Coturnix japonica: one gene and its partner. The protein of the gene in region 1 interacts with the protein of each later gene in a biochemical or structural test. Links are inferred from orthologs where the notes say so. Each region holds a gene or a part of one and is shown on either strand. Other genes may lie near its edges. The genes, in order: CARD11 and PRKCQ.

Region 1 (7,683 bases):
GTGAGGCTAAAAAACTTCAACAAATTTTACTACTTTGTCATATCTGGTTCAAAGCTTATAAACTTAAACAACCAGTCACAGCAAATATCGTCCCTGGATGCAGTTTTTAACCTGATCTTGGCAAATTTTGGTATCTGAGAAATGAGTTCAATCCAGATCCTAGGAATAAAGTTACTGCTGCTACAATACTGCAGCAGGGAGCCTCTCTCCTTAAGATATTAAATCCTATGGGATTCAGTGGGACAAGAATGACCTCACTCATCAGACCAGACATTCTAAGAGTTTCACAAAGCTGTTACTCTGCTCTCACCTGCCTATTCTGCAAAGGAAAGAGGAGCTGAGACTGCAGTACTTCCTCTGGTTTCCCTACGAGGTCTCAGGGGGATGCTGAGGCAGCAGAGTAAGACCATCTGCTTTAGCATTTCCTCCCAGTGTGAACGCAGCATAGAAACAGATAGAGAAGCCTGGTGGAGGGTTGGGGTAAAGGCTTCGGAAGGAGTGGGACGATATAAAAAGCAGAGATAGAAAAAACAAAGTCAGAGAGGGCCATACTTGTGAGCGGAAAGGAAGCTACGGTGAGCTGTAGGTGTTAGAAAATTCTATTGGTGAGACAGAAGGAAACAGAGACAGGATGACAGCGGTTATTTGTTGTGAATCACTCAGCACAAGTCTGGAAGTTGGAGGGAGGCAATGCAAGCAGACATGCCTGGCATTTTGGGATGCATTTCCAAATCTGCAAATTCTGATTATGTTCATGAGCAAAGGGGCAGATATGAAAGCAGTGTGTGTGTGTATGAGAACGGGTCAGCAGACAGGAACCATCCCCACATGCTAAACCAACTCTGCAGGGCAGCAATGCATGCTGCATGCGCAGGGAGAGGATGGAGCAGGAAGGTGTGAGTGCAAGAGGTGGCAGGAAAGTGGAACATGAGATAGAGAAGGAAATCATGGCGGGGAAGGAGAGAGACTGAGAACATGGGGGAGGACATACATTCTGTGCATGGGCAAGAAAGGAACAAGTGGAACACTTGTCACACAGAAGATATGCTTGATGAGAAACAGGCATAAGAAGATGGTGAAGAAGATAGGATGCACATTAGAGTTGATAAAAGAATAAAGGAAGTGAGAAGAGCTAATTAAAAGAGGGGAGAAAAAATAATTTTATTAGTTAATAGAAAGCATAAATCCGTAATGAAAGGATTTAAACACTTGGTCAGGGCTCAGTGCACAGAGCAGAAGCAGGAATTCCCTGGCAACCAGCACTGCCAAGCAGCCCTTTCAGCTCCCCCTCTGCACTTCCATTTCAGCACACACTTCCCTTACCAACACCCATCACCCTGGGGTACCGCAGGGCCCCCCCCCCCCGAGCACATTTTGTGCTGCTGAGGACAGGACGGGTGGCTACAGACCTCAGAGAAACACACAAAAATGAACACAGAAAATAAAGGTGAAAGTGGAACTTGTGGCAATTAGACTTAAATGCTGCGCCAGGCAGCTGCTGTCCTTACCTTGGGTGCTCATGAGTGAGTGGGTGTCTCGGTGCAGCTGCTGCAGGATGAAGTGTCTACGTTGCCTCCATGCCCATGTCTGGCTCTTCCAGGAGCCCCGGAGTGGTTTTTTTGTGCTCTGCAGCTGTTAGAAAGTAAAAGAAACACAAGGAGCAAAAGTCCTCCTGCCGCCTGCCCCCCTTCCCCAAGGTGCCGAAAGTTTTGGGGATAATCTGGAATAAAGGAAGCAAGTGCACTGGTGTCAGAATGAGTACAGAGCGACAGAAAGTGAGAAAAAAGTGTGTCAGGGGCTGGGCGGGGCAGAGGAGGAAAATGCAAAGATCTGACAGGAAACCAGAGTATCAATCTGCTTAGGGTTTAAAAAAAACACACATTTCTGCTCCCCAGTGATACTGCCTGTTTGCAAATGACTCTGCACGCAGGTGACAGCAGAGCCCCAAAGAAGCACGGTAAGCAAATGAAGAGGCACTGCTACCCCTTCCCCAGGAAGAGCAGTGGGCACAGAAGGCAGCAGCCTCCAGCGGATGGCTCAGAGCAAGAAACGAGGCTGTCTGCACCACCTGCCTTGAGCTCCCTGCAGCAGGAGCTCCCCCAGTGCATATCCCTAGGGCAGAAGGGGAGATGCTGGCTGCCAGCTAACCTGGGGCTGTACCTCCAACCACAAAGCAACAGCCCTTGCTTCTCACTACACACACTGGCTAGATAAGAAAGAAAAAGGACTGAAGAGTTCCAACTGAAGCAGTTCCAGGCAGGAAGAGTGGTGCATTTTCTTCAAAAACCTTTAGAAAACATCTTTTTTTTCTTATTAACAGCTGTTGTCGCTAAGCTAAAAGGGAGACGACAAAATGTAATGCGAGTATTAGTATATGTTACAGTTGAATGATGCTGTAAAACAGCATTTTCCTAAGGAAGTCTGTGTGCTGACAGACATCTGGTATAGCTTGAATGCTGGACAATGGGCTGAAAGCCACACATGGGTAAATCCAATGTTTGGGTCCCTCTGAGGACACAATCACACCAAAGAGCACTGAGATGTATATATGTGAGGGTGAATGTGGTTGGAAGAAAACAGCTGTATACATACATGTACGTTTCTATCTCCTATAAGAAGCAGATAAAGAAAAGGAAAAACACTAGGATTAATGAGCATAAGGGGAAAGATGATTGATAATTAAGGAATGTGGGAAGGGGAAAAGGCATGAGGAAAGTAGGGTGAGAGGCAGAAAAAGGAAAAGCAGTTGTTAGACTAAAGGGAAATAACAAATGGAAAGAAAGAGCAGTGGAAAAAACTATCAGAAGATATAGCTGGGTCAAAGGATACAGCAGCCTCAAAGAAAATAGAATGAAGGGAAGTGATAACGTGAAAAGAAGTAAAAAGGGAGATGGTATCTGGCTGGAAGTGCTATTACAGTAACACTCTGAAGTGTCCTTATCAAACTGAAAACCTGAATCCTGTGAAAGTTGGGAGAGCAGAGTATGTTCTTTGCAGCAAAAGACATGGGGCAGCTCTGCTCTTGTTCTCCCTTATTGTCCCTCTGATTCCATGGGTTGTACCTGTACCATGACTGAGAAGGGCCTAAGTTTAGCCATAAGGGTGGTATTGAAAGGGACTCTGACATTCCAGTTCTCTAAAACAACAACTCAAAGGAAAGCAGCAAGTTCTTCCTCTCCCCGGGCAACAGCAGAACACCATTCTCTTACTGTTTGTTTTTTTTTCCCAGTGAGAACTATACTGTTTTGTGTTACTTATATCCTTGTACAACCTTATCAAAATTCACCTCTGAATAAACAGTGAGCTGCCTGTGACAAGGTGCCCTGGGCAACCAAAACTTACCTGTGTGACAACTGCATGGATGAGGCTGCACAGTTTCAGACATGACCAGCACAGTGAGGGAAAAGCTGCACATACTCCGGAGAAAAACTGAAATACTGCTGTAAGAATTATGGCCCGCTCTTGTTTCATCAAAAGCAATACAAGTTATTTCTGATCCAAGCTTTCCACTGCTTTCATAGAGGAAGCTGATTTGTGCATGCAACAGAGGAACCATTTTCAGTTCAACCAGGGAAATGAAGGCAGCTGACAAACAGGCTTTGTGGCTTCACTTTGGTTTAAAACACAAATCTTCCGTGCACAGTTCCTAATCTGAAAGTAAATATGTGACAGAATTCAAGTTAATACTCAACAAGTCTTGTTACAGGTTTCTCCAGTCTTTGATTCCTTTAGCACACTGGCTATCAGGCAGTAGACTGTAAAACTGCTCTCTAGAGCCAAGCAAAGGTTGGATACCATTTGTTCCTGTTTCTGCTTTTGTTTTGCTTACTGTTGTTGGTTACAAACAGCTTTCAAAAGGTCCAATGACTGTTTTAGAGGTCCCACGTTTCTCTGCACCTAAACAGAAGGAAGAGCTGAAGCAGCTGCTCAGTGAACAATGAACAGATTAAAGGAATCAGTCACCAAAACATGAAGGACAAATTTCTCTTAATCATAAAGACTTGTAAACTGAGAGTAGCCAAGTAGAATTCAGTTATCAATCATAAAGCTACACATAACTCAGCATCAATCTTCTCCTAAAAGAATTTACAGACTCCAACCCAGTTTTCTGTTTTAAAAAATGTCTCTGAAGCTACAGAAATATTATGGCTGAGATTACAGTTATTTGAAGCTGATAGACTGTGTGGATACGTTTCACACAACGTAAGCATAGAAAATAACCAGGTTCAGTCAGGCAACGAGAAAATTCAAGGAAATCCAGATGCTCCATCTAAAATACAGGTGTGTACTACAGAGAGACTGCAGAACTGCAAATCAGTGGTTTCCTGATCCAAGTGCAGCGTGCAGCACTCTGACTCGTAGAACTATGTGTCCCTTAGGGAGCAGCAACAGTAGGGAGCTGTGTTGGAAGTATTTTGCTCATAGAGATTTTCTCACCCCTCTTTCTGTCTGTGCCCCAGGGATCTTACGCAGTGTGTTTGTCCAGCTGAAGGTTTCGCTTGTACACTTTGACACCCTACAGAACAACTTTATATAGAGTTAGTTCATCAGCACTCAGGAGGGCAGTCCATCAGTCAGAAATGAAGGTGCTGATTGTCTTTGAGCTATTGCAAATTGGAGGACTAAAAAACATTATTAAAAAAAATAGCATTTGGAAAAACTACTAAACTGCCCAGCCCTTAATCTGCTGTTCCTCCTCTTGTCCCAGGAGAGCCAAGCCAGCCTATGAGGAGTCTGCCCTTGACTCCTTACCACTGTAATAATCCTGAAATTCCCCAGGCAGCAGAACAGCATTTCACAAACTAGTGATCTGAGAATGAATATATTGCATTTCCCCTGCTCAGGAACGCCATATATATTGTTAAAACAACCCCTCCAACTCTTTAGAGCAAAGAAACAGAAGTATTAAATATTTTCCACATTTTACATATTTTATATTATCAGCCTTGCTCAACTGTCCTTAGAGACCATCACTCTTACTTAGAGATGCTCATAATTTATCAGTTTTCTCCAGAGATCTGACTTCCAGAACAGAGTATTTCCCTATTCAATTCACCAGCCTGTGGATAAGCAGCTGTTAGTGTTCATCTGCCTTTTCTAGACATTAACATCAGAAATGCCCCTTGATGTTAAAAAGCGACACACAGCAGGGTTTCTGTAGCACCTTTGGGGCAATGGTTTAAATCCAGTTGGGAAATGCTCCCATCTATAGCTTTATGATACACATTTAAACAGTATTTCAATTGCCTGAGCTATGAAATAAGATGACAGCCAAACATATATCAGTGAGAAACGGATAGTATAAAATTCTCTCATTCACTTGACAGTGTTGGGCTAACGTATTTTTGCACAAAATGTTCTGTCTGTCGACTTCAATGATTTATCTGTCTGCATTGGGTGTGAGCATCCTCACCTTCCTTTTTAGGAAGAAATTTCAGTTCAAACCCATTGCAGGGGTTGGTCTGACATCCCCCAGTGCAGCAGATGGGGTCTTGCCCTCTACAGAGGGGCAGAGCAAACAACTCAGATCTACTCTGCCTCATCTCTGGGCCAAAGTGAAGCAGCCCCAGGCTCTGTACCACTCCTGCCAGAAGAGGCAGAGTTAATTTAGCGACTCCTCCAACCATTTCCTTTTCATTACACATACATTATTCATCACAACTGGGTATGAGCCATAGCTCTGGTCCTTATGCTGTTCCTTATGCTCTTAATTATATATCCATAGCACTTAAAATCCATGGATCTTTAAACCTTCCAGGCAAGTAGTTCAGTTCCACAGCAACCAGTGGGTTATTGATATATTCAACAGACGAGGTAACTAAGTTTTGGGGAGATAAAAGAATATCTGTTCTCCCTTAAAAGTGATAAAAGTACAATTTTTTTCTTACCACAATGGCTTAATTTTGAAAAACAACATCTGATGCGCTGCTTTGTAGAAACTGGCAACTGTTATAAACTCAAGGCAAAAAACTTAAAAACAAGCATTTCCTGCTAAAACAAAAAGGGAGAGGAGGGCAAATAATCAACATTACTACCAAAAGAACCCTGATCATTTTTGATCATATTCTCCACAAAAAAGGCTGGGGGGGCGGAAAAAAAGGATGATTTTAGATCAATGAATTTGGTTTAAAATGTTTCTAAATAATCACTTTCATATTTCATCTTTTGCTTAAAACACAAGGTCATCTTTCCCAACTCATGCCATAATAGCATTGTCGATATGCATTCTGAGGATTAGACTGTGAAGGACTTAGCATAGCTGGGATGTGAAAGCTAATCTATCAAACCCAAACGTTAGGAGAAGTAAGGAGAGGCAAGTTACTTATTCTTGCTTGTTTGTTTAGAATTAGAAGGTTTCCTGTCTTCTTTATAGGTCAACATTTATTCTAATTAAAAAGCGATACATGTCTTTAATAGAGACAAATTGGAAACAACTGCAAAGTTTAAATGGTTTTGCATCATTCTGCGTTTTCTCCCTCCTCATTCTGTACAGCTTCTGTAAAAGGTCAGGAGGAGAAAACTTCTGCCGAGCGCTGTGCTCAGAGGGACAACACTCCTCAAAGTAAAAAACATGTTAGGATTAATTAATAGCGTAAGTGATGTAGTAACTAAAATAATAATCACATATTAATTTGTATCATTAGAGATAAGGTTTTTTTTTTTCCACTGTTCAAAAATCCAATACTGCAGCACAGACCTGGAAGTTAAGGACTTCTTGATTTCCATTACAGATCTTATACAGACATCTGAGTTTCACACAGACAAAGCGTGCCTGTCTGTAAACAGACCTTGGAAAAGATTTGAATGTGAAACTGTTGTATAAATGAGATGCACCAAAACCACAACATGGAACACCATATGAATGTTACAAGACCACAAATGATTATATTGGGTCTAAACAAAGATCCATCGCTGCCATAAAACTGAAACTCCCCAAAATGGGGAGCTGAAGCCATTCCTAAGGAAACCCACCAATCCCCTCTTCCAAAGAGCCCCCTGTAGGAAGATGAGTCCTTCGTCTTAGGCTGTGTTTGCTCTTCCAATGTCTCATGTTCACTTACCTTTTTAGTGCGTATCTCCCGAGGGAAGGAAGCTAAGCAGGATTGTAGAAGAGCTCTTCAACTGCGTATAAACAGAGCTCATATATCACCGAACATCTTACATTTGTGAGATTAAGCATAGCCATAAAACTATATGGCTGCTATTTATTAAACCATAAGTGAATACCTGGTTTTGAATTTTTTATTCTTCTCTTTGAAACAATGGAACAGAATCCTGAAAGCAGTGTCTTCTTCCTATGTGACAACTTGGTGTTAGAATATTAAATATTTTATATCTACGTGTAAGGCTTTCATTTCCCTTCATTCCAATACTCGTATACCCACACAAATTACAGGCCATAATCTTTTTAATAAACAGTAATTCATTTGTTATTCATAGAGTTATTTCTGATTCACCTGATGTAAAAGAATGCAAGCAACGCACATCAAAATAAGTAACGGCAATGAAATAAATTCAGGCATATGTAGACTGAGGTCAGACTTTTGTCTACAGACCCAAACTGCCACGACTGTAATAACTTCTTACATTAATTATATCAATAGCTAATGATCTTTAACAAAACTGAATGCTGGTTTTATGAAGCATTTGACTAATTATCTGATTCGATAATGCAAAACATGA
Region 2 (7,176 bases), on another chromosome or scaffold:
TTGACGTGTAGTCATCTTCAGGGCTTTGGCAACCACACTACATGGCTACCTGTAAACTTTTGGTGTGTAATTGTCCATGTGGATGTCTCCTTAAGTGCGCCAGGTTGGAGGACATCTCGGTTTGGGAACAACACAGAGATTCCTCAGCTTGTCAAGCAGATCTCTTTATTGCCTGGATTAATGACTTGTTTCCAAAGTTTTACCCAAGATGTGAAATAGGTAGCAGCCTGGTGGTCTTTCTGTGGAGACTTTCTGAGTTTTAGATCTTTGTTCTGAACAAGTTTCTGCCTAAACTGCAGAATGAAGGCGCTCTGCCCAGAAAGGAGGAATGTAACCACCAGTTCACGTTCCCTCCATGTTGTTGTAAGGTTTTGCTCTGTCATTTTCATTGCACTGACCTCAGGGCTTAGTTATGAACATTCAAATAGTTTTGTAAAAAATAAGGAAACCAGTAAAGTGAACACAGATTTAAATAAAGTTTTTCAGTATATTTTTTTTCTAATTAATAAATAAAATTTAATTCCTCAATGTTGACTTTTGAAATGTTATTTACTTCACAGAAGGATCTGAACACATTTCATTTAGTCTAATTCTCCTACTTATTTTCAGATGTTTCAGATTTTAGGCATTCTCAGTGCTATTTGCAGACACTTTTAGAGGTAAGATCTCAGGCAAAGAGCTCCTCTCTGTTAAGTGGACTAATTCAGGAAATAAAGCAGCCTGTGGCACAGCTTCTATCCAACTCCTGGCTCTGGGACTGAGGGACTATTCGATGTTTGAGGGACTATTTAAATGTCTGAAGGACTATTCTTGAGGTTAACACAAGTATGACAGCTGGGTCGCAGGATGTGAGGAAGCCTCTCATCTGTAAACTGAAGGACAAGACTGCAGGCTGATGCAGTGCTGACGAGGGTGTAGCACCATCTGTAATGCTTTCAGACAGAAATAGCTTCCCTAGTTGACCAAGAATGCAAAGCAAGTTCACATCTGACTGAAATGAATTGCGTGGATGTGCTCTAAAAAGCTTTTTGTGGGAGGGAAAGACGACTGGGAGAGGAAGTGACTAGGTCCAAGTCTGTCACTGAGATGGGGTGATGACCTGCGTATCTGTTGTGTTCGTTTTGGAGAGAGTGGGAACTGAGAGTGGTTCTGCTTTCATGCTAAAAAGCCAGCTGAGAGCACTTTGCAGAATAAGTAAGTCATAGAGAAGTCAAGGGCTGGGTCCAAGGTTACCATCAAAGGACAGTGGTAGAGCTAGAAAGCTAAGAGCCCTAGTGCTCTCATCTTCCTCTTTTGTTTCTAGCGTGTGCCAAAAGGTAATCATAACATCTTACGTTGCTCTGGGAAGGTCAAATTTATGACAGCTCTGGATATGGAACATGAGGTCTCCTCCATTGAGATATTCCATCACAAAAAAGAGATTTTCCTAGAGAATGAGATAAGACAAATATTAGGGGTGAGAAAGAGGAAATTAAAAAAATAAGAAGGAAAATATTAGTGTCAGGGTTTTTGGAAGAAAGCAGATTATCTTCCAAGTTCCTAATTTCTGCTCCTTCTTCTCTAAGCATGTACTCTGCCTCATTACTTTAATTTCTATAAACAGCATTAACAAACATTGTGAAGCCACATTATAATCAACTGGTGCCGTTGTTTTTTACCAATAAAGCTCAAGGATTACTAGAAGGGGATAAGCACCTTTTCAGCGCCTGTATTATGGAAGGACAGATAAACAAGATTCCTGGGGGACTGATGGAAGAGGAAGAAGCAAATCCCAGGTCTCCTATGTCCTCCTAAGTACACCTATAGAGCAGGAAGATCTCTGTTTCCTGGAAAGAGTGTATCTGTACAATGAGTTATGCTCCCAGTTTAAACTTCTGTTTCAGTATTGTCAGCTTCTGTGTATAAATGCATGAACAAAATAAAACGGATGTGGTGTTTTCTCTGTTCATTAAACATTTGAAGTCAGTTATCTCCAAGCTACGCAGAAGTTTATGAATATCCTTCTTATGTTGTCTAGTGTCCATCATCCAGTGTCCAGGTAGTTCTTCTGACTTATACTTTTAACACTTGAATGAAGATTTTTATTTATAAAATCCAACGTAAGTATCTCTGGAAGAAAACCAAGAGATATTAAAATATCTCTTGGTTTGGATATTAAAAAGGAAACAACAAGGTGATGATGAGGACCAACAGCCATGTGTATCATACTGGTACAGGAGAAATCTTATGGGTTTTTGAATGGGCCAGATAGAACATTAGTGCTCTGGGAAGGGGAAGAACCCTGGGTTTAACTGGGAAGTTCACTGACTTCACCTTATCATTCATCTTTAAGCATATATTGAAGTGCACACTTACTCAGTACAACAAACAGCCGTGTTCTGCTTGCTCATGGATTTGAGTGGCCATCTAATGCAGGCATTTAGTTCAACTGGGGACTCTTATAGCATCCTTCTACCCAGTTGGAAAACAAAAAGTGAACAGCCTCTCAGATTAATTTGCTTCCAAAGACCATTATATAAACACGGCCACCAAGTTGCCTGCAGATATGGAGCTAAGACTACAAGCCTGACTTAGATTTAGCTACTACTTGAAATTCATGGCCTACTGAGTGCTATGGAATAGTACATAAATACTACTGAAAAGAAAGATGGCACCCCTCTGAGTTCTCTGCCCTGAAATAAGGGGTTTCACTTACTTCTTACTAAGGCTAGTTGTCTAGTATGGCCCATGGAGGAAAACTGCTGGAGATCAGCCCTATGTGTGTAATTATGATTAGCAAGAAGCAGTCTAGAAGCACAAGCAGCAATTATTGGAGACACTTCCCTATATCAAGAACTATGAAGCTACAGAACAGCATAAAAATGAGAAGTGGCAAAAAGCATGCTTGAAACCAGTGAAAATTCAACAGCTTGCCAGAGGGCAAAGGGTTAGAATGGCACAGAGGATGTCTGCAGACAGGATCCAACCCACGCTTCCTCTTGTCCTGGGACATTTATCTGTTGACTCCTCTGAAGAGTCTGCTGCCACAAAGCTCTGAAGCCTGCCAGTGTCTGCAGTAGACAAGAGTGTGATGAGTGGGTATTTCTCAAGAAGTGGCATCTGGGATGGCAAGAATTTACCATGCAGTTAACCCTGTGATGGCCTCAGGTCAGAACTGTTAAGCAAACAAATAGGAATGCTTTCTGTCATGTGGAGATCTAGGTAGATCTGAACAGCACCCCACTTTCACACTGTCTGGCTCCTTGGTAGACTGACCACAGGCAAATTGCTGATCGTGCTTGAGATTATCTCTGTGTTGTGGAACAATCAGACCAAACTTCTGGTCATTCTTCCAGAGTCATGTGATAGAACAAACCTGTTCTTACTGAAGAATGTGGGGCCATCATTTATAACCACAGAGTTCAAGGAAGAATGGCAGGGCATTCCTACATGCCACAACAGACACCGTCCCAAGGCAGCTGGCACCATCTTGAGGAGATCAATATGTCAGTCATTCCCTACAACTAGGTCATCAGTCATGAGTACTGTTTCCCAGGGGTGAGACCTGGGGCCTGTTCTGTTCTCTAACTTTACTGATGACCTGGATGAAGGTATTGAATGCACCCTCAGTGACACCAAACTGGCAGAAGTGTCAATCTGCCTGGGGGAATGAAGGTCCTACAGGGGGTTCTGGACAGTCTGTATAGCTGAACTGAGGCCAGTTAGATGAAGTTCAACAAGACCATGTGCTGGGTCCTGCACTTCGACAACTATAACCCCAGGCAGCGCGACAGGCTTCATTGCCATTTAGGGTCAGACAGATTTCAATATTCAATGCTATTTGAGTTTTGGTTTGGCATACGATCTCTGTAAAGTGCCCTCAGCCCATGGAGGAAGGTGACAAATCCTTGTCTTACCTTGGTTTGAAATGTACAGAAGACATGAGTCAGGAACGGGTGCTCCCAAGCTAAAGAGAGGACTCTCTTCTCCACCATTGTACATTCAACATCATCATCCATAAGAACCACATCCTTCTTCAGGGCTTTCACAGCGAAATACTGGTCAGTGTTCTTCAGCTCAGCAAGGAACACCTAGAATGGAAATGGCTGCTCAGAAAAGCCAATGCTCTTCTCTCTGAGCTGGCAACAACAGCCATGGAAGCTGAGCAAGATGAGCTGAAATGCAGCACTAAGCAGATAATTCTGCATGGGAAAATGGCTCTGAGGAATTCATAAGTGTAGACCTTAAAAGTTGCTATTTAAGTTCTGATTCTGTCATGAAGACTGTGTAGACTTTGAATCCGCTCCCCACATCCAGAATAATTCTATGAGGCTGAACTCTGAGGAAAGATGGGTAACTGGTAATTGCAAGAACACGAGCTACATGTTCATATGGACAGGACATGTATGAGAGCTGAGCACTTCTGACAACAGAAACCAACATCATGCAAATGCTCATGAGACACATTTCCTGTTTTCTGACTAAAGTAACAAATCACATAATATTGCTTTGTCAGCATGTGAAATGCAAATGCCTTGCACCGGTATGTATAAACTGATGTCCACCAGTAGTAGTTAGACTGTAGTTAGTAGTTAGACAGTAGTAGTTAGCACTACACAGAGCCTAGAGACACCTTCGGTCTCTGCAGTGAATGACCAGAAATGCTAACAGTGTTGATGCTGAAGGGACCCTTTTAACTTGTGGTTCTGTGCAAGGCATTGCTTTTCCAAGGAAATCAGAGAATACAATATAAGTGTGACTTATGCTGTGACCCTCAAGGCACAGGTAGGCAATGTTGGACTGATGCAGGGGGAGATTCCTCGTGGCTGTAGCCCTCAGAGTCTCTCCAGGTCCACCCAGAAGTGGAGAAGTCTTCCAAGCATGGAGATCTGCATATCTTGTTCTCTTTGTGGACAAGTGAATGTTACAACAAATAGATGACAGCACCTGGAGTGATACCTACACGGGAAACTTGTGGGAGAAGTTTGCTGCAGAAAGGCACAAATTAGCCCTTCCCCTCCATGCTCACATAATGCATGGCAGAGAAATGCAGATTCTTGGCTTCTCAACTTGACAAGCCCCATCTGGTGAGACCTGTTTTGTGCAGGAGTTGTATTAGATGATCTCTGGAAAACCCTTCCTTTGATTATGAATTCTTCTATGACATCTATATTGAGACCAAGTTAGTCTGGGTTGTGAAGTTTGGAGTTTCGTGGCTTAGTTTTAACTTACATATCTCAGCTCTGCTTCACATACGAAATGCAGACATGCCAAATGCTTTCATATATGCAAAAAGTCAACACAATAGATATTTCCCCAGTTTAAGATTTGGTTGCAGCAACTGCTCTAGCTCCCTTAGCAAAAAACAGGCTTTCTTCCAGGCAGTTTCCACCTTGGAAAAGACTGAGATCTAAGCAACGTGATACATAATTATACTCATTCTCCCTACTGGCTGTGAAAACACAAGGGAGAGGTGGTCTGAAATTACTTCATGCACTGAGATAACATGAGTCCACTTCCAGGAGGCATCTGCATGAAGGAGGAACAACTGACCATCCATCAAGATTAATGAATATACTGAAAACAGGTGGACCTTGTTTCAAAAGTACAAATTCTTGGCTTGTTGTGAAATCTGCTTTACGTTCCAGCACAGATCAGAGATGGGAAAAAAGCAGTTAGCACTTGCTAACTCTGGAGAAGGGTGGTGATTCATATTCACTTTCCCATCTAAAGATTCTGCCCCTGCCAAGATGGCTAAGCCAACCTGATGGGCATAGCTGCATGAAGAGGAACAGCAAAGAGATCTCAGCCTCCTAATACTTACCTTGCCAAAGCTGCCCTTTCCCAACATCTTGTGCAGGACAAAATCTTCAATGGTTAGTTTTAGTTGCACTTGGTCCTCCTGCTGCTCCAGGGGCTGTTTTCCTCCCAGGTCTGTTTCTATTAGAGACTCTCTCTTTGTCGTGCCCTCCACTGGAGTCTCCCAGGAGATGCCCTGTGGCTCTGCAACACAAATCAAAGCATTCAAATAAATACTGGGAAGTAAGGAGAAAATCCCCAGAATGCTTATGAGGTATTTTGAATAGTTCTAGAAAGGTCTTTTCAGATATATGAAAATGTGGACAGATCAAGTGAATAGATTGTCTCTGCTTGCATACAGCTTTCTCTCCAGAGGAAATTTTGCTCCACCATAGCTCCATTTTCTTCAGTGGCATTATTCCCGCTTTATGAAGTCCTTCATCTGTCCTGCTTCATGGTAGAAAACAAAACCAAATCTTTCATTTCTGGCAGCCTTTGTTCTTCATTCCTTCTTGCTGGTTGCTGTTTTGATAGGATCCCATTTCTTCTGAGACCTCTTCAAGACCCTTGGCAAAACTAGTGTGTGAAACAAATGGGACATCATCTTCGTATTGGCTCCATGCTCTGGTTATGGAGACTTAATGAAATATTCCAGCTGTCCTGGAGAGGAATTACTAACAGTTTCTTCAATACTTCATTCCCTTGGATGTTCATGAAATTCTTGTCCCTTACTGGATTTATCCCACTCACTCAAATGTATGTACTTGCTGTACTTGCTGTGCTGTCCTAAGCTGCTTAGCAAGAACACTAATCATCAGATAGACTCACATGTTAACCAGATGTAAATAATTCAGGCTTTACCAGTACAGACTGGTACATTCTGTTCTACTTGTAGCCCTCAGAAAATGAACACAGATGAAGGCACCATTGATTTTTCTCTAAGGGGGGAAATGGAATAGACAGCACCAAAATCTCAGGTTGGATATTAGGAAAAATCCCTTCTCTGAAGGAGTGGTCTAGTGCTGGAATGGGATGCCCAGGGAGGTGGCTGAGTCACTGTCTACAGATCTACTGTTGCATCCCTTACTTGGTTTAAGTATTAATTCAGTTGTACCTCTCTTTCTTTCCCTCCTCTTTCTGGTAGATGTATTTTAAAAGCTTGTGGGAGTCTGCAAAAAAAGTTAGTTTCAGAACAGTGCCCCACAAACCATGAGAACTTCTGAAATGAACTTCTGTATGGGACACATAGATTTAATGAAAGATGGTGACATTTCTGGTCTTAAAATCCAGAGTTCTCTGATTTGAGCACAAAGCAGACAAATAAGGAGTCTTTTCAGGACTTTAACTTTCCTTACAGGCCACTGAGCCCTCAGTAGCTTTGTTTGTCCATGGTCTGCT

Evidence for each region.
Region 2: of the proteins of CARD11 (region 1) and PRKCQ, one has a biochemical effect on the other in vitro, tested with the Homo sapiens proteins (2 studies listed by BioGRID). The link is inferred for Coturnix japonica from reciprocal best matches to the Homo sapiens genes CARD11 and PRKCQ.

What each region holds. Positions count from the first base shown.
Region 1 is NC_029529.1:3,536,615-3,544,297, forward strand, and holds the start of CARD11 (caspase recruitment domain-containing protein 11), read right to left. Parts: upstream 4,042-7,683; 5' UTR 3,472-4,041; coding exon 3,343-3,471; intron 1,633-3,342; coding exon 1,509-1,632; intron 1-1,508. UniProt on the Homo sapiens protein: Adapter protein that plays a key role in adaptive immune response by transducing the activation of NF-kappa-B downstream of T-cell receptor (TCR) and B-cell receptor (BCR) engagement.
Region 2 is NC_029516.1:3,259,062-3,266,237, forward strand, and holds part of PRKCQ (protein kinase C theta type), read right to left. Parts: intron 5,983-7,176; coding exon 5,804-5,982; intron 4,071-5,803; coding exon 3,897-4,070; intron 1,427-3,896; coding exon 1,335-1,426; intron 1-1,334. UniProt on the Homo sapiens protein: Calcium-independent, phospholipid- and diacylglycerol (DAG)-dependent serine/threonine-protein kinase that mediates non-redundant functions in T-cell receptor (TCR) signaling, including T-cells activation, proliferation, differentiation and survival, by mediating activation of multiple transcription factors such as NF-kappa-B, JUN, NFATC1 and NFATC2.